Styela clava: one gene and its partner. The protein of the gene in region 2 binds, or shares a complex with, the protein of the main gene of each other region. Links are inferred from orthologs where the notes say so. Each region holds a gene or a part of one and is shown on either strand. Other genes may lie near its edges. The genes, in order: DNA polymerase epsilon subunit 4-like and DNA polymerase epsilon catalytic subunit A-like.

Region 1 (10,815 bases), about 8.0 Mb from region 2:
GATAACATTACCAACATATAATTTTTCAAAACTTTTTGGTTCGAGATTCACAGACACAAGTCTGGTCAAGCTTTATTTTGCTAGAGCATAATCTAGCTTGATCAGGTAGGTGTAAGTTAGAATAAGCTTAAATGAAGTATAACCAAATATTTTCAGTTAACCCCATTTTATTGTCGACTTACTAACAGGAAACACAACACAGATTTATAAGAAATATAGAATTTATTACTCTTGATATATTAAGTATATATACAACAATAATTGTAAATTATTCTACAGTAATTTTATTTAGTTAACTTTCCAACATATATAATTCTGTTGATATGAAGAAATAAAGTATAAGAAAACAAATCTACAATTCCTACATGATACACCATTTTTTCACAAAATGTGGAGAATTCCGAATGATAATGTTCTACTTGTGAGAATATTGTTGTGTGTTCCAACTGAAGTCTGTAAATTTCGTCGATTAGGATTAGGGGTTAGGAAAACTTAAAAATAATAGAGTATGACCAAAACTGAAGGAAAATTAAATATGTTAGGCTAGCTGTAACTTGACACATAATCATCTGCACAAACGCCATCAAGTCACGTATGTTGAGTGTCAATATCTATGATTTCCAGCATGAATTGATTCATTTATAATATCAACTACTTTGTAATGATGATTTCAATATTAATTGGAACAAAATCATTCATGCCAAACAGCTCAATTTTTAAACATCAGACCGAGTCTTTCACCCAAAAACAGAAGTTTGTCAAGGTACACCCCGCCTTTTCCTTTTATCCTTTTCACTGAGTGAACGAGCCATATATTCTTCTTGTACTTTCTGAATTTCCATGTCATGAATAAACTGTTTATGTGAAGCTGACTGTGACTTCAATCTCTGTTTCAAATTTGAAATCTCATTTTCTTTCAATGTTATATCATCTTTTTGCCTTTGAATGATTTCTTCATTTTTCGTACATTTGTCGTATAAAAGATCACTTCTTTGAGTTTCTCTGTTGGCTCTGCCAGCAAAAATATATTTCAATGCTTAAATCCCCACAAACAAATAGCTAATTACATAAGAAGTTCAAAAACAAGTGCAATGAATTGTCCATTACCACAAGAGTTCAAAGCACCTTCCAGAATAAATATTCAAACATTGAAGGGCAATAAATATTGGCTATTGTGGCCATATGACATTAAGCTCCATTTTTATAACAACAGATATAAGTATGGTTTCACAAAAAAGAGTAAAAATTTGAATCATGTGCAAATTTTGAAATAAAAACAATCAAGCATAAATCTAATTAATGAAAGTGTTGTAAATATTGAATACCACCTTTTAATGTAAATCAAATATATTAAACATACTCTCATTTATAAAGCGTATATCCGAGTTTTAGCCAAATCAAGCTATGGCTAGGGATGGGCATTTCCAAATACCTCAAAATTTTGGAATCAAATTGGATATTTTTTCAAACCAAATCTTAAAAAATATACAAATGTATGTGTGTTTTTTTATTGTGATGGATCCTCCAGACACATAAATTACTGAAAACATAGAATTCATCACACAGTCAGATCACAGAGTGGTTTCACATAAAAGAAATCTGTTTCATCAACATCTCATTAGAAAGAAAACAGTTGTATGTCAGAAGTGAATTTTAAATATGGTTTCAACAAAAATTTTGAAAAATTTTTTTCAACCTTTGACGGCAAAAAAAAACAAGATGTCGGTGATTCAAAATTTTTTTCTGAATCGATTCGCATAATTTCCCTATCAATATCCAATAGAAATATTCAATTCGATATGCCCAGCCCTAGCTAAAAGTATTAACCCAGACATTCACTCAATGACATGCATATAATATCAACAACTCACTTTTGTTTGACAGATTTGATTAAATTCTCATGATCTGATTTTTCTCTCTCAAGATGTTTTGTAAGTATTTCAATTTCTCCTAATGCAAACCTCAACTTTTCTTGCTCTTTCTCCAGTAGTAACTTTGTTTTCCGATGTTCAAGTTGTTCATCCTCAAATTGCTTGATAGCCTGTAAGTTTAGAAAAACTGTGTACGAAAGACTTCATAACTAAAGAAAACTTTGAAATCAAACATTAGCTGGAACTAACAAGTCATACACATTGCCAAAATTTTAATCAATGCCACATAATTACATATACGGTACTACTTGAATCGTTTCAATGTGATGGCATGCTTACGATAAAATTCGAAGGACTGGGCTTCATAATAACCATGTGGAGGAGTTTGAAAAACGCATTCTTTTTTATAGCAATTAAATTAATTATGTGCTTACATGCTTGCCATCAAGAAGGATCAGAAAAAAATCATGAAATATTAGGATATCCTAATGCATTTTACACTGTACATCAGGGGCCTCGAACTAATTTACCTAGGGGCCACTGGACGCAGAGTCTGGGTGGGTCTGGGCCAAATCAGGTTTTCCCACAATAAAAGCTTAAAACATTCAAATCTTCTCAAATTTTTCCAAACACAAAACAAGTTAAAATGAACAAATTAAGACTACGATAAATAAAAAAAATAACTGAATATTAAAAATAAATAATTAGTGATTGGGACCTGAATTTTGGTGGTATTTAGGTAATCTACTATTTGATGCTACTCGCACTAATTTTACCTCGTCATAAGTTGTTTTCATAACATAGTTAAGTTTATGTCTCTCTTTTGTTTCTAACATTTGTTCTATTGCATTGTGTTGAAGTCCAATCACATCTTGCAATGTCGCTCTTACTAGATCATGAGTCGATGAACAACTTGCTGTCGATGAATCTGTTAATTCAGTCTTGCCAATTGAAGATGAGAATGATGATGAAAGAGTAGTATTTATATTCCCGGAAAATTTTAATGTATGATCTGATAATTCATCCATACTAATAGATCATGATATAACCATAGAAATAAAGAGAAAAAAGTGTAAATGGCAGTTCATTTTGTGCAGTAGCCAGAATCATATCCATTGACCCTGCATATTTTGATACTACGAGATCTCTCATGTCTCAATGTAAAACCTCACCATCTCAGGTTTTTGATGTTCAGAGTGATAGTGTCACAATATATAACATATTACAAAATAGGTAGAATATAAAAAAATAACTCAACCTTAGACATACTAGATTCGTTTCGTTCAAGTGGTGCTAATACATTATATGCACAACTAAGATAATCTTACTAATAAATGGTATAACAATTATGTTGTGCAAAAAAATTCAATTTTGCTTTAACAGAAGTAACTTTAAACTTTCTTCAAATAGATACAAGAAATACCAAATCAAAAAAATATCTAATGAACAAAAGCTCAAGGAAAAACTAGAATGTTTGGGATGTCTAATTAGATGCAGTAGTACAATTTCCAAGTTAATTTTCCCAAATTATAAGCAAGGATGACAAATGCAAGCTTATATCAGTAAATACACAGTAAAACCAGATATGTAATGTGCCTATCACATATTCCACACTTTCATGACATATTGAGCAGTTTAGGCAAAATCCAAATGAGGAACACTTCTTATTAGAGTACAAAATAAAGTATTGCATTCCAATATGATTGCTAAAATCATATCAGTCCAATGTTCCCTCTAAAAATGCCAGTTCGTCATTAATTTCCAGCACCATATCCAAATCTTTCTTCTGAATTGTTTTTCTTTTATTTCCTTGTGTTACTCTATAAACATCTCTCGATAATTGTTCGATAAAAAGTTCGGTTGCTTTGGCTATTAAGAAAACAGATTCTTGACTAGCAATGTTAACATCTTGATCTGCTTTTATCAAAGTTTTTATACGAGCAATAGGAAGTCTGCAAAGTTTTTCACTTTTTTCTCCGTCTTGATCTGTGTGATCATTTGTGTTCTCAATGTCATCATTGGATTCGTTGACTTCAACAGTTTCCTCACTCATCTTTTGTAACTACAGTACAGATAGTAATTATACCTAGACTATCAGACTATACGGTATGAAATTGAAACTGGAAAAACTCATCAATTTTATATTATAATACTATTGATGTGTAAAGTATAAGGCAGTAAAGTATTCATACAAACCATATATGGATAGGCTGAATAAAAATTCCATGAATACATGACGAATAAACCAGTCAAAAATACACTTCTCAATATATCGGTACATAATTCACTCTGTCACTAGTTGCATAGATACCGAATCAATTCCATAGTGACCATTCAATTCAGCAATTGCATCATACCAGCATAAAGACTTTAAAGCAATTTTTATGAACGAACTTGTCACTTCTCTATGAAAAATATCAACTCAATTAAATCTGTATGTTGACAGATTGTGCGGAGCTTAATGCAGTGATGCCATAACACCTAAATAGCCTACCGGTACTCGTACTGTTATATTGTGACATTGTACCAGTAGACTAGCCTAACTCACTTATTGATATATTTTGTTTTTTCTCAGACGATTTTGATATAAACCTAGTGCTATTAAATTCAAATTTATTTTGACATAAACTGAACTTTTATAATAATATAATAAGTTTATTTCGATCTTCCCTGAAAAAAAAATTCACGAAACAAACAACAAACACACAAAACATAAGGATGAACACACAGAACAATGGGGAAAATCGGGACGGGACAACAGGCAAAACCTTTAGTAAGGTTTAAAACAGCAGAAATGCATGTGCCTGTTCACCCATGCAACATGCAACTCAAATAATCGAACAGCAATTTCCGCGTTTGATCAAATATACAGAATATAGGCTATAATATATATTAAAAAATAACAAATAGAATAATATCAAAAAAATTACCAACAGTACATTATTAATATGTTAAATATGTTTTTCATGGTTGTTCCAAGGAAGAATTCATCACCGTTCATTTTTTCCATAATTCCCTTTTTTCATAATCATCATTTACCGTATAAGATTACAAATATTTTTAAGATGAAGGATGTAAAAAAAGTTTTTCCAATTATTATTTATCTAATAATTACATACACTTGTATAGACTTTTTTTTTTTTTTTGTATCATTTGTAGACATTTGTATCAAATATATCCATCCCCCTGACACCCAAAAGCTGAACAGTCTAAAAAACGTAAATTTGAAAATCTATACAGCACCGCGAACATCTACGCCGACCTTCGACCCCACTATGCCTTTTTTTCGGATACGATCTGATATTTTGTAGTTGGTATTCCTTCTTCTTGTTAGACACGAAATAAATCTGTGGATCGTTTTGGTATTGTGTTGTTAGAATTCTTCTTCTCTTGTTATGGAAAAAATCGCCTTTCTCCTCAATTACTGAACCTATCGCTTTAAAATTTACAGTGGTTGAAGATTGTTAGAAGCCTATTACCTTTATTCATTCCTGATTTTTGGACACGTCAGAGTACATAACGATCGTTTCAATATTATGTTGTTGTTGTCGTTGTTATTATTCTCTTTCGCCATGATGAAATCGCTTTTCTCTTCAAATACTGGACCAATTGCTTTGAAATTTTCAGTAGTTAAAGATTGATTTTTTGCCAGAAGGCTATTACTTTTACTTATTTCAAAAATTTCTGTGGACTTGGACTTCAAGAGATTCGTTTTTATGTGTCAGAATAAATAATAGCGACACCTTGTGACGTTTCCATATATTTGAGCACAGCTCTCTTGTTCTATAAATCCTATAAAATTAGATATCTTATCCAAAGTTTGGCTGTTCCATTTTATTCACGAGAACACGTTTTTATATTCCGCCAGCTTGACAGACTACGCCATGGCTGTTCTCGATTTTTATTTTACGAAGATACGAACTCGTGCTCCGCGAAAGTCGGGAGATTTTTGAGAAGGTGATGCCAGGCAACTAACGCACAGATTAGCAGGATAGGAATAACTGGAGGTTTGGTGTTGTGTACTTCTTACTCGTGTCCGGTTCATCTTTTACCTAATACGCTCAATTCCTGTTATCAAATCGCTCCAGTAACCGTTTACTCCCACATGGCACACTCTATGCAGTGGTGGGATTCAAATTTTTTGTCAGTCAGTTCCTTCACAAAAGTCATATAATTCAGCCGGTTCTGTTACAAACAGAACATTGACAATAAGCAGTAATGCTAACCGGTTCGCTGATCTCATAAAATTCCGTGAGACGGTTCTATAGAACCGATGCGAACCGGCTGAATCCCACAACTGACTCTATGGCATGAAATTGTCTTGTTAATACTAAGAGCATAAGTGAACAGAACTTTTATTGACTAAAATATTCAAGTTATACATCGTTATTTGCCTAACAATAAAAAACATCAAGAATGTACTGATGTCCGATGCTACATCCATAGAACAGCGACAATGATCTGTTCAACAAAGGTATAGTTTTCTTTGGAAGAGATAGTAGTGAAGCATGTTCCAAACCTCTTTTATATATAAACATTGGGATTAAAAATAATATGAGTAGGCTATAGCAGCCTGAGTTTCTATTTGTAGCAGAAGAAACGCCATCAAGATCCAGACATTCCAAATTACTACCATTGTTTGCTTTTACCCCAAAATCGAATAAACACGGATGAATGAATATCACTCATCGATACAACCGGGATATAAATTGTGAGGTGTTTCGAATTGTGAAGGGAAGTATAGCAATCGCCATCTTTGCTACTGGAATCATTCCCGTAGTAATCATCGTTACATTACGAATCACATCATAAAATTGGCACTTGACAGAGACTTTAGATTTATCGATCATCGCGCAACGATTTCTTACTTGGACTGTGCTTTCGCGCTAAAGTTGCCGGACCATTGAATAGCTTCTATAGAGTAGGGATCGTTACCAAAACAAAGATCGTACTGTACATGCAATATATCAAATATTATTCAATGGGGAGAACAATGCTATAAGTTTCAATTACTTTACTTGATTATAAATTTCCATACTGAAATCTTGTTTCCGAATTTATTGAAACAAATTTATCGTATGACTGTACACGTATCTAACCTTCAATTAAATTCAATTTTCAAAGTAGAAGTGTTTCGAAAAAATGTTTTGCCCAAACACTTAATCCCCAATCCGCCCGGAACATAAAATACTAAGTTTCGAATTCAAGAACTTAACTTAATTACAAAATATGACCGCTTGACCTTAAACATTGTTGACAATGTAATTGTATATATATACAACATATTATAAAGCGCTGCCATTACGGTAAGATTAGCTTGTTCAAACATTTGTTTAAATTGGCATCAAATTTGCAGTATCATTTTCTATATTTTTTAACAACTACTGGTAAATTGTGCGTTAAATTGTCGTTGTATTAAAAACAATTTACGATAGAAGAACTTGACGCGCACGTTTTGACAACTCAGACAATCTGGTTGCCAGAGTGGGATTAGAATCAAGCTGAAACCAGACCTTAATTTACAATGTGCTTCTCAAAGGATTTTCAAAATTCTGAAGTAGAATCAGAAATAGGAGAATCTCTAAACGTCCGGGTATCGAAATCGCCATTTTATATTTCATTCCTATTTTACCTTCTCACGTGTTCACAGCATCGACTATCCTCGTGACTTCGTGAATCATCATAATCAACAGTTTCGTTTTCATTGAAACAATATAACACCTAAATATGAAATCCTATATCATAAAATGCTGTAGAAAATTCTTAATATCGACCATTGGTGTGTTACCCGCATGTATGTGATTTGGATTCTGGAGTTCCGGTTACAGAACACTAATGTGTAAAAACATTATAATAAATCTGTATTATATTATTATGTTTTTAACACTAATAATAAATAATTATTCTTATACAATTTACTCTCTTTCTTTTATAATTGATATGCGTATTGCAATATATTAGTGAAGCGGTTTCCAAACTTTTTGTTCGTGCGGCGCCAAATTAGAAGGAAAACAACTCACGGCGCCTTAAAAGAAAAACATGACTGCCTTCAAATAAAACTAAATTTTGCGATCGTTAGCGTGTACTTTGGTGATTTAATATATTTATCTGGTATGGAAACAAGTAGATATCTTTCGTTGTGTGTAAAAAGTGGAATCTTCACTCCAAGTAAATTGAAGGTTGTAATCAACCCGAGTTTGAAGTTGACTAGATGATCTTGTCGATTCGCGACGGATGTGCTCTGCACATTTTTTCAAAAATTTCACAACTCTGCTTCCGTCTGTCTGGATTATCTCTATTGAGGGCATGGAATAAACATCAGCAACAGACTGTGGAAGCATGAGGTGAAAATGAAATCATGCTTGCAAAGTGAAAGCGTATGGTAACTATAGTAACCAGGCGTGAAAGAGAAGATTTTAAAACTGAGTGTACTGAACGTCAAATAGGATGCTATAGATTCCTATGTTAAGAGTTTAGTTGGAATCGATATCTGTGACGTGATTTGTTGCAATGACAAAATAATTTGCGTTTTTCTCAACTTTTTAGGATTAAATTTTGTGTTACTTTTTTAACACGCTGATATATGAAAGGATTTTAACATTATCATTGCCTGCGGCCGCATTCTTTTAATACTTGAATAATCTCATATAATCGTTCGATTAGCAGAAACGTTGCCGCCCAAAAATACAGCGAAGTTGTTTATACTTGTCATTTCATGATAAAATCGCCAGTCATTAAAGTACGCTTAACAGTGAATCTTCCGAAAATCAAGACCTGACCTAGTTTATTACTCAGCAATTAAAAGTAGGCAAGTATCAGAAATACTCAATTATGGAATTTATGATATATATTTGTGTTTTTCTTAACAGAAGCATATATACTTAGAGGAAAAAAAGAGAGATTTATCAAGATTTGAGCTTTCCGCCGAAATGTTCAAGATTACAACCTCAATGTCAATCCTTTTTTTTTATCAAGAGCAGAATTTGTGTAGTCAGAATTCAACATAAATTAATAGATGCTCCCGAAGTATGTGTACCAAGATGGCGCACAACCTGAACATAGTATGTGCACCAGGTTAGGTTTATCAGGTTGTGCGCCATATTTCTGGAACGCCAATTACTAATGCACAACTGCAATTTATTTCTACGCATAAGACTAGACTTCTTAGTATATATATTTTCATTTTTTTTTTATAAATTTTTTTCATAAACTGCTACATTAAGTTTAGTTGCAAAAAAATTGATTGTAGATCGAAGGGGTTGAATAATTCAAATTATTAGCAAATCGAATTATTCATTGACTGAGAAAATTCTTCGCGTTTGATCTATTTTAGTCAGAAGAAGCTCGTTTTCGTTAATTTTGGGACACGACATGGACAATGGATTGTATTCAGGGATGGCCATTTCCGAATACTAAACTAATCCGAATACATTCTAAAATAATGTTTTCGAATCTGGAATTCCGAATACATTCTAAAATCGAAAATAACACATTTTTGCTTAGTTTACTAAAACCCAGTAAATTAGGGAAATAAGCTTCAATAAAAATATCAGAATAAAGCCACAAACCAACAATATATGTACACAATGTAATTGATAGTTTATAGCTATCAATAAATCAATAAAAAATAATAGCAACTTGTGACACAGTCAGTTTATTATAATTATTCACTTTGTACAAATGACCATACGAAATGATAGCCAAAGAGTTGTCTGACGCTTTCTACCATTGGTACCAATACCATGATATTACGATAATAGTCAAGTCTATTGACAAAAATACTACTTGTATTCAGATAATTGTGTTTATTTTCTGAGAGTAATAAACTTTATTGGCAATACAGGCAACTGAAACAAGCAACAACAATAGAAAATCCATTATGCCTTTAAAAATTCTAATATTTAAGCACAGAGTATTCTACTACCTACCAGTATATTTGTATATTAATTTATGTGAACCATATTGTTATTATGTGTAACAAATTGTTGTGTTTGAAATTAGAAAAAAAATTAGTAGAGGATAGATGACCACCACTGCCAGCCGCGCAGCCAGGATTTTCGAAATCGGAAATTCCCATTGCCGCCTGTAACACCCACCGCGATTTCGCGCTCGCTAAAAGAGCCGTCTTTTCAGCGTATAGTGATCATTCTGTTACGTAAAATATTCAATCCATGACAACTACGAGATTTTAAAATATCTTTATATAATAATTTAATGTGTCCAACGTAACTCGCGGTTTCTTCTACTTACGTCAAAAAAAGAACATGCTATTCGGTCCACGGCGATCTGTGACCTAAACGTACGAGATAAACTGCCTGATGTATTTAATTTTAATACGTATTTTTGCAATCTTGCCAACTCGTTATCGCCGTTAGAAAAATCTCAAATAATGATATAAAATCCTGTTAAGTGTAGAGCATAATTCATTTCATACAATGAATATACAAGTTTAGCAGTAAATTAAAAATACATATTCTTCGCCGCGATTATGCCACCTGTTAAAAGAGTCGACTTTTACAACAAATAATATAACAACGAATATATATTTTTCTGTTGTGCAAAGTGATGAATTCGTGACCGATACGGGCATATTTAAAATGTCTTTCTTTATTAATTTAATTGTTTTCAATTTAACCTGCGGTTGCGTCGACAAAATAAAATCCTCATATACCATTGCAATCCGCGGTCATAAAAAAAAACGTGTGGTAAATTGCCCGAAAAAAAGTCTATATATCCTCTGTAACATCTTAGAGGGAAATTTATTTCATCAAAATAAAACTGATTGAATATACTTTCAAAATATTCGACGGCAATTTGAAGTAATGGATAATCAGGTATATCCCGCCCTCAGTTCGTGACGATATGTTTCTAAACGCCAACCAAACATAAGGTGTGCCAGAGGCACACAAAATTCTGCGATTTTCACTGCCTAGAAAAGCGTTTT
Region 2 (12,419 bases):
TGCACCGGTATAGCAGACAATTCCAGCCATTTCCATTGAGTACCACCGTGCCCCTTTACGCATTACATACCCATAAAAAGAATTCAAAATACATTTGTGAGCAAGTTGTAGAGAATCGTATAAAACCTCAAGCCCTTTTGCTGCTTTTATTTCCGAAGCGTCTCCGCTTGCTACAGCATCACTAACTTGCTTTTTCGCTTTTTTCAGCGCGGCTTTAAATTCGTAACGGCGATCACGGAACATACGTACTGTGTCGACATAAAATGAATTCTCCCGCTGGCAAATCGTAGTGTAGCGCTCTTCAATTCGGCTGATTTTCGTTTTCTTGTAAGCGATTCGACAGTATTCCTGAAGACGTTTTTTCTCTTGTTCTGCTCTCTCAATTTTATTTAATTCATGGAAAGCTCGAGGTTTTCCACCGGGAAAAAATGACGGAAATTTTTCAGTTTCTAATTGTTGTTGAATGCGATGAAATTCACTCCTAGTGGCGGGCATGTATTCCCCACGCCACATCCATGGCATGGAACGTTGGCACGTCGCACCAGGTTTGTTGAAATCACAAGCCGCACAGGTTTCATCGTCAACCATCGCTGAAGGCTGTAAACGATTCGTTAGAATGATATTCGGATACATAGCTCCAACGTCGAGATGGTAAATGATCGGGTTCTCAATTCTAGCGGGATTGTCCCGCAAATCAAATAATTTTGATTTAATATCCCGACAAACTTCTTCATAATTCGTAACTTCGGATAACGGGATATTTTCTTCGACTTCGATGCAAAATTTTATAGTTTTTTCAACCTCCCCATGTAGAAAATTATACCCCCCTGGGTCGCCTAAAAAGCGACAAGGGATATCAGCTCGAAAGACCCCACTTTCAATAGCTTCGACATGACCCCCAACATACGTTTCCGAGTCCAACACGTGTCCGTCGTTTGTCTGTTTGTTCAACGTTGACTCTTGTCTGTTTGGGAATATAATATTCACATCAAATGCCTGAACCATGAGAAGAGCTTCACATAAAGTTCCAGAGCCTTTTCGCAGCACAGAGTCCGGATCCATAGGGATAATAGTACAAAGCGCGAATATGAAGGGATGAACATATTTCATGTAAAGGTAGTATGTTGCAACTGCGTCCGACACTGAATAATTAGCCATTGTTTGTGGTTCTTCGCTCGCTAAGCGACACATATCTTCTGGGTCTAATTCTACTGGGTCGTAACGAAGTTTCGCTTTTGCTGCCGCTTTCAGGCTTTGTGATCCCATCGGTAAATAACTGTCTCTTTTTACCCATTTAAAAGCGTCCATGTGTGACGCTTGGCGGCATTTATACTCCCCTTGAGAGTCTTTACTGAATCCAATCTCTTTTATCATTTCAATTCCGTGCTTTAGAGCCCGCGCTTCCACGAATGGCCAGTCAAAGAAATCCCCATTATATGTCACAAATAAATGTGGCTTAACGTCTAAAATATGATCGAAAAAACGATGCAACGTTGAAATCTCGTCAGGTTCATTAAAAACTTCGAATTTCCCCTCGTATTCTGGTTTGGGTGTGAATTCAAAGTCCTCTACGTCGGCAGATATTATTTCTCGGTTACAGATCAAATATCCTTGTCCGTCTATCATATAAGAAATCATCATAATACAGTCAGTATCAGGATCAGGGAATTTTAACGGCAATTTCGTCGTTTCGATATCATAAGCTAATACAACCGGGTCTGGCCGCTCTAATAAATCGTTTCGTTTGGTTATCACGGGTGGAATAGCGCTTCCTTTAAATTGAACGGAGTACCACAGACCAACATGGATTTTCAAATCGATTGAAACTCGAACGTAGTAAGTAACATCGTGTTCGCGTATGTCAAGTAAGTTATCCAACTGGTCAACCAGCGTTTTAGATCTATCACTTGAAGTTTCGGAGACTTTTTCTCCAGCGAGGGTGCTAGTAAGCATTTCAACATACGCAGAATGTCCTTTTTCACGCTGTTTGTTACGGTTCACCGCCCGTTGGATAATTTGCCTCACGCTTGATAAATCGTCGACGTGCATGAATGATAATTTTAAATACGTCTGCTTTAATCCAACTAAATGATTCTGTAGATCCAAATCTTCTTTTTTCTTAATTTCGATGGAAAAAATTTTCGGGAATTTTCGCTGCAGAAATGAAATGACTTCTTTTTCTGTCCCACGTTTTGTCAAAACGTAAAAATATGGCTTGAAAGGAACAGAGACTTTGAATCGTTCACCGTCATCCTGTTAAATAAAATTTGAGAGATTCAATACAAGAAGAGGCCAAATAGGAGTGTATTCACTCATTACACCGCCCCCACCCCTGAAGCCTCAACCGACAATGAAAAATTATACATTATGCATACACGGAACCAATTATACATTGAGGTATTAATTTTATGAAAATCATTACAATTCAAATTAATATGCTTTAAAGCAGGGGTGTGCAACAGGCGGCCCGCGGGCCACAACCCGGCCCGCCAAGACAATAAGTGGGGCCCTTGTCAACACTCAGATATTTTCCCACTAAGCATCAAATTCTAACCTGACAGTTCATGTTTAAAAAAGCGCACACAGGGGTTAAAATCCATAAATTTGAGTCTTTCGTCTTTTTGCCTTTATTACTGAAGACTGAGCGATATAGCCTTTTTGTGGTGAGAAATTTTTAATTCATTATGTACCCGAAAGATATTGAATTTTTTGAATGGCCCGGCTAGATGTCAGAAGTTGGTTATATGGCCCCCGACAAAAAATGTTGCACACTCCTGCTTTAAAGGTATGTCACCTGCACAAAAAAAGCTTATAATATACTGCTACAATAAGGGTTGAGATAAAATATAAAATATTAAAATTTTGGAAATATTTTGAATGAAAACAACACAAAAAAAAGCTTCATTTTGAGCTAGTTGGTCATTTTTGAGAAGTGATATTCACAAAAGAATTTTAGTAAAAAGTTGTTTAAAAGCCAAAATGTACATTTTCCTCATTTTCTCAAAAAAACTTTAGTAAGTTTCGCCCTTTTGAATTAAAGCACTCAATTAGTTTAATCTTTGAGTATGATAAAAGATTTAAAATTTTGATTATCCAGTGGTCTGGGCTCCAAAAATATGGAAGTGAAAAACATATCACAGGCCAGTGTTAAAATGAAGAGTGCGTTGGTATCTTGAACAAAATAACTGCACAAGTGCTCTGGCTGATATTAACAAGTAAGGTGACTTAGCTTTTATTTAAACAGTCAGCGATTAGGGGTTGTTTGAAATGAGACATCAAACGAAGAGAGGCGAACAAAAACCAACTCTGGAATTTTTTTAACATTATTTCGCTATTAATAACATGCAATTTATAAACACAAAAACACCACTTGAAATAGCAAATTGCATCCTATTATTAAGGGCACTACTTTCATTGAAGCAAAAAAAAACTCCCCTTCTGCTCCCCAACAACTTAGAAACCACTGGTTCATAATATATATCTTACCTGTAAGAAATAGAAATCCACTGCACTGATCATTTTCTTATCTTCATCCAAGATATCTGCTTCACACATGTTTATCAGCCATCCCAGCTTCTCACACGGAAGAGATAATTTCTTATAGCCATATCTCTCGTCCATCTCTTCAGATAATTTCGCTTGTTCCAGTCTGGGAATAGAAGCAAAAGTCACACGCAAAGTCAGCGAATTGCTAACCTCATGTAGAGAAATTGGCCTCTCAGGCGGGCGGTACTGAAATGCCAATATCGCCGTTATTTCTTGACCGTTTCTTGCAAACTTGGTATTGTTTTGTTTATTTCGACTAAGAAATATCTACTGGCGCAGTAATTACTCAAATCAAACAAATTTTAAATTTTTTGTAATATATATAGCGTTATGAACTAGGAGGATTGATTTACATTATCCTACAAATCTGAATCGGGCCAAATGCCCCCATTCCAGAGATGAGTAGTGTGCTTGTTTCATTGTTTTAATACCGAGTCTAACGAAGTACACATTGCAAGTGCTTAAATGACGCTAAACAAAAATATGATGTGAAAATACAATATGGCACACTATCCGAATGCCCTGTCAATAAAACAAAAACTTCATGTGTCTCACAAACGAGGGGCGTCTGCTACGATGGCAGATGAGTCATATTGCGCCATGCTTGCCTCAATGATAATCTAAATTAATCGCAGACGTAACGTGACCAAATCTGCCGCTTTTTGCTCCAAACTCTCAAATGCCACGGTAGAAAATTTTTTACTTTGGTAAATCGGATTATTTTTTACCGGAGGAATTGATGACGTTTTCAGATTGCGATTCTTTGTAGTTTGTGCACAACTTCATTTTACTGTATTTTTACGGATTATGAGTGTCCAGACGTCCCCCGAAGAAGGGGTCTCTGATCATCTGCAAAATGGGTTTCTCTGAAACGAGACAATGTCGCTCGATCTGTATAGTGTGCTGTACTGAAATAAATGCTGGAGCTGCTCAAACCTCAAGTTTTTTTTATTGTTTTCTGCAATGGAATGCTACACCCTGTTTGGCATAGAATGAATATACCAGCTTTATTGAGTAGATTTTATTCAAACTGAAAACGTCTTGTCAATAATTTCATTCCATGCTAGACAGACTTTTTGAAAACATCAAAATTTAACATCACATTTCTGATTGCTTACATCAAATTTTCAGTTTGGTGTTATTTCAAGGAGTTATGACGTTTACTTCGCTAGGCCCTAAATACTTCGAAATCTTTGAATGATTGAAAGAAACAAACCTTTTTGCGGCACCATCTTCGTTTTTAGACCAGTCTTTCTCCTTCACTAATTTTCCGGTGTTTTGTAGCGGCATTTTGGTCAGTTAAAGCTATTTCAACCTATATTTTTCACTACCAATTCACATCCTATAATACACTTATCGTGTATTAACTCTTAGAACAAGCTATTACTGTATTAATGGTAAATAATAACCATTAGCGGCTTTCCTAACTAATAAAACGAAAAGCCAAAACCGCTACGAAAAAAGCGGGAAACCAGGAACAGCGGGAGAAGACTAAAAATATAAACGATTATTGTTCCTACACGGAAAATAATATTTGGAAAAATGGAGCGAGAAATGTTAAATTTCAAAATAGACCTAACGAAATTTATTAAAAAGATTGAGGCATATCTATAATTTCAAAAACATTTTTTTATTGTCTTAAGCAAACTAAAAATCCCGGAAGACCAAATTACCACTGAGTCATAGCTAAATTTGGGAAATATTGCCAGCATCACCGCGAAAACGAGCGCATTTCCACATCCGTGCTCACAAACCGTGTTGCCGGTTGACCCGCGTTTAATTTTTAATTAGTCGTCCAAATGCATACCGAATCTGAATTTATTTTCTATTCGAATTATTCTATCGCTACCTTCTACCGGTATGTTTCAACAGCAAGAGGGATATATAAAGGGGAAAGAAAATATAGAGTTGAACCATATATTTACGGTTAAACCAACCCCGTGTACCTCCGGAAATTTGGTCCCGATGTTGAATTCGCCGTCACGCTCGACTTAATGCTGACAGATTATTGCTTCGAAAACCATCGTGCGACGTTCTGCGTTTTTCTGTGCTCTGACGAGCTGTCTCGCGTCAAGATTAAGTGAGTGACTTATAAATATTCAAGTTAGTTGTGCACATGGAATATTACACGATATACTTGACTATAGAACTCATAGAATGCAGATAACAAAACAATGACAACAATTTTATGATTACCGGTACTGTTATTGATTAATAGTATTTACAATAATTTGGACGTTATTTGGCTTGTTGTGGCTTCTATTTGATGAGTGAAGCAGGTCTAGCCCACCTCTTCATACATCCAACTTGGCAATTCTGATTGGGCAATTTGGCATTAGGTGACTCCAATTATAATCAGCTTGACGATATCTTTTGAGTAATACTTTTCTATCCACAATACATTACTCTTGTTGACTAATTCGGTATCCAATTTGGCAATCCTCATAAAATTATTAATTTGGTGTGGCAAAAGAATTTATTCATTTTTTTTTTTTATTTGTTCGTATATTTTCCTTTCTTTTTACTTTTAAGTCTCGCTTTTTTCGCTTCCGACAGTATCATGTCTCGATGATTGTGTGTGTGCGTGCGTGCCTTAATTAGTTTTTTTTACTTTTGGGAGCGAACACGTACTACTTCTTTTTTCAATACCTTTCCATCTAAAATCTGTACGTTTCAAACCTTACTCTAGGTTTTGTTCGCTTTCCCGATTCTATAATCAGTTACTTTTACTTTTGTTTTTATCTATTTTTTTATCGTCTATTGCTGATTATGGAGTCGAAATAAACTTATACTTATACTTATTATAAAATAGAAGAACAATCAATTGAGTGGGAAGGCGTTAGGACCGGTCCAGCACTCGAAAGCACATTGACGGTAAGATTTTAAATTCACTTTAAAGCTCCCATGAGTAGATGTAGTAGAGAGCCGCTTTGTGCTACGAATGTTCAGCATAAAAGGAGTAAGTTGTAAATGTTTTTATTGGTACCCAATACAGTAATGATTTGTCAAGTCAGTAAATTTTGATATGAGATATGTATATTTTCAGGAAGGAAAGGATTATAAAAAAAGTTACAGTGTGAGGATTTATGCTGTGTGATCAAAGCAGTGAGCAAGAATATAAATTGAATGATGAGTGATGCTTTATCTCAAAAATCAGAATTAGCTTACACTATATCAATGAAAATTTTTGGTGGAGCAACTAAAACTGTCAGCAAAAAAAAGAAATGTGGTGAGCGATACCACCCTGAAATTGTGACGTCCGTATGAAAAACATAGATTAAACACACATATTTTAACTTCAACTAATAAGTGTTTTATGATGGAGTTCCACCGATCTTGATAACTTTTTTCCATTCTGTCATTGTATACGAAGTCACCAGCTGCATATTACAACATAAGAGGTATTTTACGTTTGCCATGATAATCCATATTGCTTGATTTCAGGCTGGTACTAATAACTTTTTTCACATAAATTGGATAACTATTATTGCTATTATCTAAACATGGCCTCAACATAGATATATTTATAATTTTGGATGTGCCAAAAAATTTTGAATTAGTTTGTCGAGTATTTTTAAGGAATTGATTTGTGATCAATAGCAATAACTTTTTTGCGACTGCAAAATCCATCACGTTCATTGAATGCATTAATATTTCTCCTGGAACCGTTATAATTGATTAATTTTAATTTGTTTTGTGGGGTATTCGCATTTTTGTTTCAAATAATACCTTGTCTAAGTGGCTGTTATACTTATATATATAAACACATACATGTTTAGATGGTAGACAAGGTTCAATTGTTGTGGGCAATTTATTTCAAAATACCGTAACTAAAATAAAAAAAATTGCAGACGTCTCGAAACTCATTTTTGAAGAATGATTTGCTGTCACCAGATGGGGTTTTGGCATGGAAACACATCTAGAGGGAATTTATGAAGATATGTCTAAAAAACATTTGAAACAGCCATGTAAACTAACAGACCAACATGTGAGAGAGATTCATTGCTACAAAACAATGTCAACACTATTATAAACATAATACAATAACGAAAAAAATTTCAGCTGTAATGACAGTGATTAATTATTGCTTTGTGCGGATCGGTGTGCAAGACCGATTAAAGTCATCTAGGCTCCCTTGTTTATATGCTGTATATAAGACTATCATGGCATAAAATAGTACCGTAGGTGGATGCAAGCGAGAATAAATATAAATATATAAAATATACATAAGATAAAGAAATGAGTCGACAATTCAATGGTATTATGGAAGTTATTATTAAGGGCAATTTAGGATTTTGAGAGGTCATGTATTGGTTGGAGCCGGACATGTCCAATGGAAAGATTTTTGCAAAAAGCATTTTTTTTTATTGGGCATTAACCGGGATAAAAATGGAATAATAGGGACGAGAAATAAGTACATCACAGATTCAGCATTATAGCAAGCACGTGAAGTAAAAGTATCATTTCCCACCTCAATGAGTTCACGAGAAAAGTACAGGGAAAAAAAATTGTAATAAGCACTGAATATTGTATCGTTGCTACCAACATTCATATCTATACATGTTTAACTCAATGGCTTGATAAAAATGTCTGTTAAATATTAAGCACAGGTATAGCACAAAGAATTGTTTTGGATAATAATTCATTTGTATTTTCTTATTAGATCTATTTCCTATTGAGCATTTAAATTTGGAGACAAAAGACTGCAGTAGATTAGCCAAAATTTCATAAATTTTTTTTTCACACTGAAAGTCTACAACAGGTGATTAGCTCAAGAATTTTTTAACAAAATAAATGCTATACGGCTACATGCAACACATTCTGTAGTGATATTTAAAAATCAACAACATTTCATTGCTTCTCCAGCATATGAAGGGCTTCAAATGCTGGTACCTTCAACATGTGATATACCATATTAGACCAAACATCTGTCAGACCCCCCTTTAAGTGTGAGATAGTAGTCTTCAAATTGTTCAAATACTATATCATACATATAAATTTTTCGTGGCGTGAAACACCTCTTAGAGTTAGACCATCGGGACTATTATAAACCCCGACCCCCCCCTCTTCAAAATCTTCAGCTATGCCTCACCCTATACATTGAATGAATCGACAACAGATTTTCAGTTTAAAAGATGCATATTTTGCAGGTCGCGGGGCAGGGAATCCATCGGTGCTCCAGTTGATTGAAAAGCAGCAAAGAAAAAGAAATATGTAGCAATGTCCACGTGATAGAACCTAAATTGCGTTTTTACTCCAGCTAAGAACCACTACCAAAGCCTTAAAAAGCATCAATACCACTATTAATATAACTTGATATTCAGTATTTATTCACATTAGTAATTAAAATAATAATTTTTATTCCTATGGATTATTGAGAAAAAAACTTGGGTACTCCAGAAATACGTGTACCAAGATGACGGACAACGGAACATAGTATGTGTACCTGGTTAGGCCATACTTTTAGGTACAAATACTACGAAACTCACTTGGTTAGTCCCTGAACTCGTAATAGAACTAAAATAAGGACATTTTGGCCTAACCCTAACGTGGTACACATATTACGTTCCGGTGTCCTCCTTTCTTGGTACGCATATTTCAGGAGTACGGAAACTTGACTGTAATCACATATATCTTAATCTTCGTTCTAGCTGCTGTGTTTCTTCAATTGGTTTCGTATTTCATGTGTCCTATTTGATATCTTGTTGTTATTATTTTGGCTGCAGTACTTGCGTATACATTTGCTCAGATCTTTTGAATACTTTCTCAAGTAGTGTTGTTACATCTTGACATTCAGTTACATTGTTTAATAGGTATTCGCTCATGAATGATTTGAAAATATTTTTCTTTTATATCAAGTGTCGGATGTTCAATGATGTGATGATGGAAATAAATTTAAGCTGATTGCATGTGTTGAGATAGCCTTTGTATAATCATTGACTCGGTCTTACTACTTACTGAATACAGCGCGAAACACCGCAAAGAGCGCAAAACAGAGGGAAACAGCGCAAAACAGTGTGGAAACAGCGCAAAACAGAGGGAAACAGTGTGAAGCAGAAAAAAATTTTGCAATGAGTTCGGGGCACCTTGTTTTGAGTTGGAGTACCATGGCAGCAAATTAAAAACACAAACCAACGTATGTAGCCAGTAATGCTGTAATGGCAGGTCTGCCCCTGCTGGTGACACATTTTGGGTACCATAATTTAGAACATTTTCCATATGGATATGGTTGGCTTTAGAGTTAGGGTTAGGTAAAAGGGACCTCCAGAAGTATGTGCACCAAGATGGCGCACAACCTGAAATTAGTATGTGTGTGTGTGTGTGTAGCGGATTCAGGTTGTGCGATATATTGCTGCACATACTTCTGGAGCACCAAAAAGGTAGATAAAATTTCGCATGATGACCTATAATCCGGTACATAACCTTGTAAATAGGCGCGAGGTTCTTTCGTGGCAGGAGGTGGTAATGACTGCGTCTCCTGTTTTGCGCTGTTTCCCTCTGTTTTGCGCTGGTTCCTTCTGTTTCGCGCTGTTTTCCTCTCTTTTGCGCTGTTTCGCGCTGTTTTGCGCTCTTTGCGGTGTTTCGCGCTGTATTCAGTAAGTAGTAAGACCCTCATTGACTCTTAAAAAAGTTATTGGACACGTAGTGGACATAACGATCGTTTCAATATTATGTTGTTGTTGTTCTTGTTCTTGTTATCCTTGTTGTTGTTCTTGTTCTTTGACACGTTTTTAAAAAGTCGCTTTTCTCTTCGAATACTGGACCAATTGCTTTGAAATTTTCAGTGGTTGAAGATAAAATTTTTCTCCAGAAGGCTATTACTTTTTTTTTCGCTATGACGTCATCAAAATTATTGCCATTGGGTGGCGCTACGTGTCCATATATTTGAGCATAGCTCTCTTGTTTATAATTTGGTTTGATTAATTTCTTGAGCAGAGCCTTGTGTTTCTGGGTTGAATTATTAACAGAAATTGCTGCTCTACCTATGCATTCCAGATTGTTGTCACATTCACAAAAGCTGCAGTGCGCAAATCACTGGCCCTTCGTTTCGTTCGACGCCGTTGAATTCTTTCTCATAATCATCACAGCAAATTTGTTACGTTTACTCATTTTATCTCTTATGAAGTTCCAGATCTAAGCTAAATTCAAAGTTTAATTTACTGGTTTATTCATTTATAAGGTTAAAAATAAGGACACACGTCAAAATTAAGATGTTTCTTAGAAATAAGGACAAAAACATGCCCTAAAACAAAGACCTTCAAAATAAGGACAAATTCTAAAAATAAGAACGTTGTGGCAGCCCTGATTATAGGTAGGCTTACCATAAGTCCCGCTTTAGGCGGGACAGTCCCGCTTTTTAGCGTTTTGTCCCGCTGTCCCGATGAGTCAGCCAAAAGTCCCGCTTTTTCTGCATAATACACAAACATGTTCTCGTTACTGTTGTTTCTGTGTAGCGCATCGCTAGCCTGCTTACTGAAGGTGAATGCGTTCGTTTCCCGCTGATTCCCATTGATGGCAGAGGTATCGCATGTAGAACCAATACTAATTAGTCTAAATTCGAATTATTTGTATGTCAATTCCTTCCTATTTTTCGAATATGAACCCGATATTTGGACAGGGATCGCATGAAATTTCGATAACAATATGGTCAATAAAGACAGTCGGGACAGCTTTAAATGTAGGCCTATGTGGTAAAATCGGAAAAAGTGAAGTTACAAAATCACAGCTAAGGGGTCGTTGTCTTTTGAGGCGTCCCGATTTGAAGTTACAAAAATATGGTAACCCTAATTATAGGTCAAGTGGAGGAAAAACTTCTGGGAAAGCTACAATACTTGAGATGGAGTGAGACCAAAATGCCGTGCTACTAAGCTTTTTTTTATATAAAGTGCAAAGTATTCATTTCCATCACCACTTTACCTACATCTGACTGAATTTTTTGCAATGCATCGCATTTTTGATGCCTTGCTTTTTCGACAAGGAAGTTGTCACATCATCCTGGTCATTTGCAAGACAGACTGTGTCTTCATTTTCACAATTATTTGTTCATTTTTATCGAATCTCTTTGTCCTTCAGCAAATATTTCGATCAGTCATCAATGAACAGGGCTAGTTTTCGAGCTGTGATGCAGGAGCGTCGTCGTCGTTAAACATCTAGTCTGAACAACACCAACCGTGACGCCCGCCACTTGGAGGTGCAACATCGCCTTTGTTTGTTTATTATACGGCGAGCTGAGTTGGACATTTAGTAGTAGTATATATTTACGCCCCAACTCATTGCAGATTTTTTTCTGCTTTGCGCAGTTTCCCTCTGTTTTGCGCTGTATTCAGTAAGTAGTAAGACCGTCGCGTATGTTTATTTTATTGTGTTCTTTGACTGTTTTTGGTGAACAGGTGGGTACTTATATTTTTTTTAACTTTCTTCTTAGTTATGCTCGTCCTCCATGTCCTCTGCATTTTGTTTGTCCGTTTGGTGTTGTTTTGCTTTATGTCAGACCGACCAAAATAAAATTGATTGATTAATCAAGTTAGATATTGTGCTTTACTAGGGTCTAGTATAGTTTAGTAGCACTAGTACTTCCGGTGGGTGTAGCATAACAAATTTGGATTATGTCATCTAAAAATTACGTCACTACGACGTCACAATCACGTCATAGAGCTTGCCAAAGAAGTATACTTACGATAGTCCAAAATGCCATCTGCGTCGATGATAACGAACTCACTAACGCCAGCGGTCTCTCTCCTATCGAGATCGTTGCACGAGAAAACCAGAGGAATAACTTGCTCAATTCCGGGTGATCGTCTGCACGTTTTGGGAGTGGAAGTGGTGACACCTCTACGGCCCATCGAATTGGGCCTCAGCCCATCAGGCTATGG

What was found.
Region 1: DNA polymerase epsilon catalytic subunit A-like (region 2) and DNA polymerase epsilon subunit 4-like share a complex: the UniProt entries of both Homo sapiens proteins name them as parts of the DNA polymerase epsilon complex. The link is inferred for Styela clava from reciprocal best matches to the Homo sapiens genes POLE and POLE4.

Annotation. Positions count from the first base shown.
Region 1 is NC_135254.1:9,449,177-9,459,991, reverse strand, and holds DNA polymerase epsilon subunit 4-like, read right to left. Parts: upstream 4,340-10,815; 5' UTR 3,925-4,339; coding exon 3,589-3,924; 3' UTR 2,901-3,588; downstream 1-2,900. Other genes in the region: spermatogenesis-associated protein 24-like, read right to left, coding at 759-1,011, 1,872-2,041, 2,648-2,899. UniProt on the Homo sapiens protein: Accessory component of the DNA polymerase epsilon complex. Participates in DNA repair and in chromosomal DNA replication.
Region 2 is NC_135254.1:1,496,403-1,508,821, reverse strand, and holds the start of DNA polymerase epsilon catalytic subunit A-like, read right to left. Parts: upstream 5,019-12,419; 5' UTR 4,837-5,018; coding exon 4,763-4,836; intron 3,650-4,762; coding exon 3,487-3,649; intron 2,254-3,486; coding exon 1-2,253. UniProt on the Homo sapiens protein: Catalytic component of the DNA polymerase epsilon complex. Participates in chromosomal DNA replication.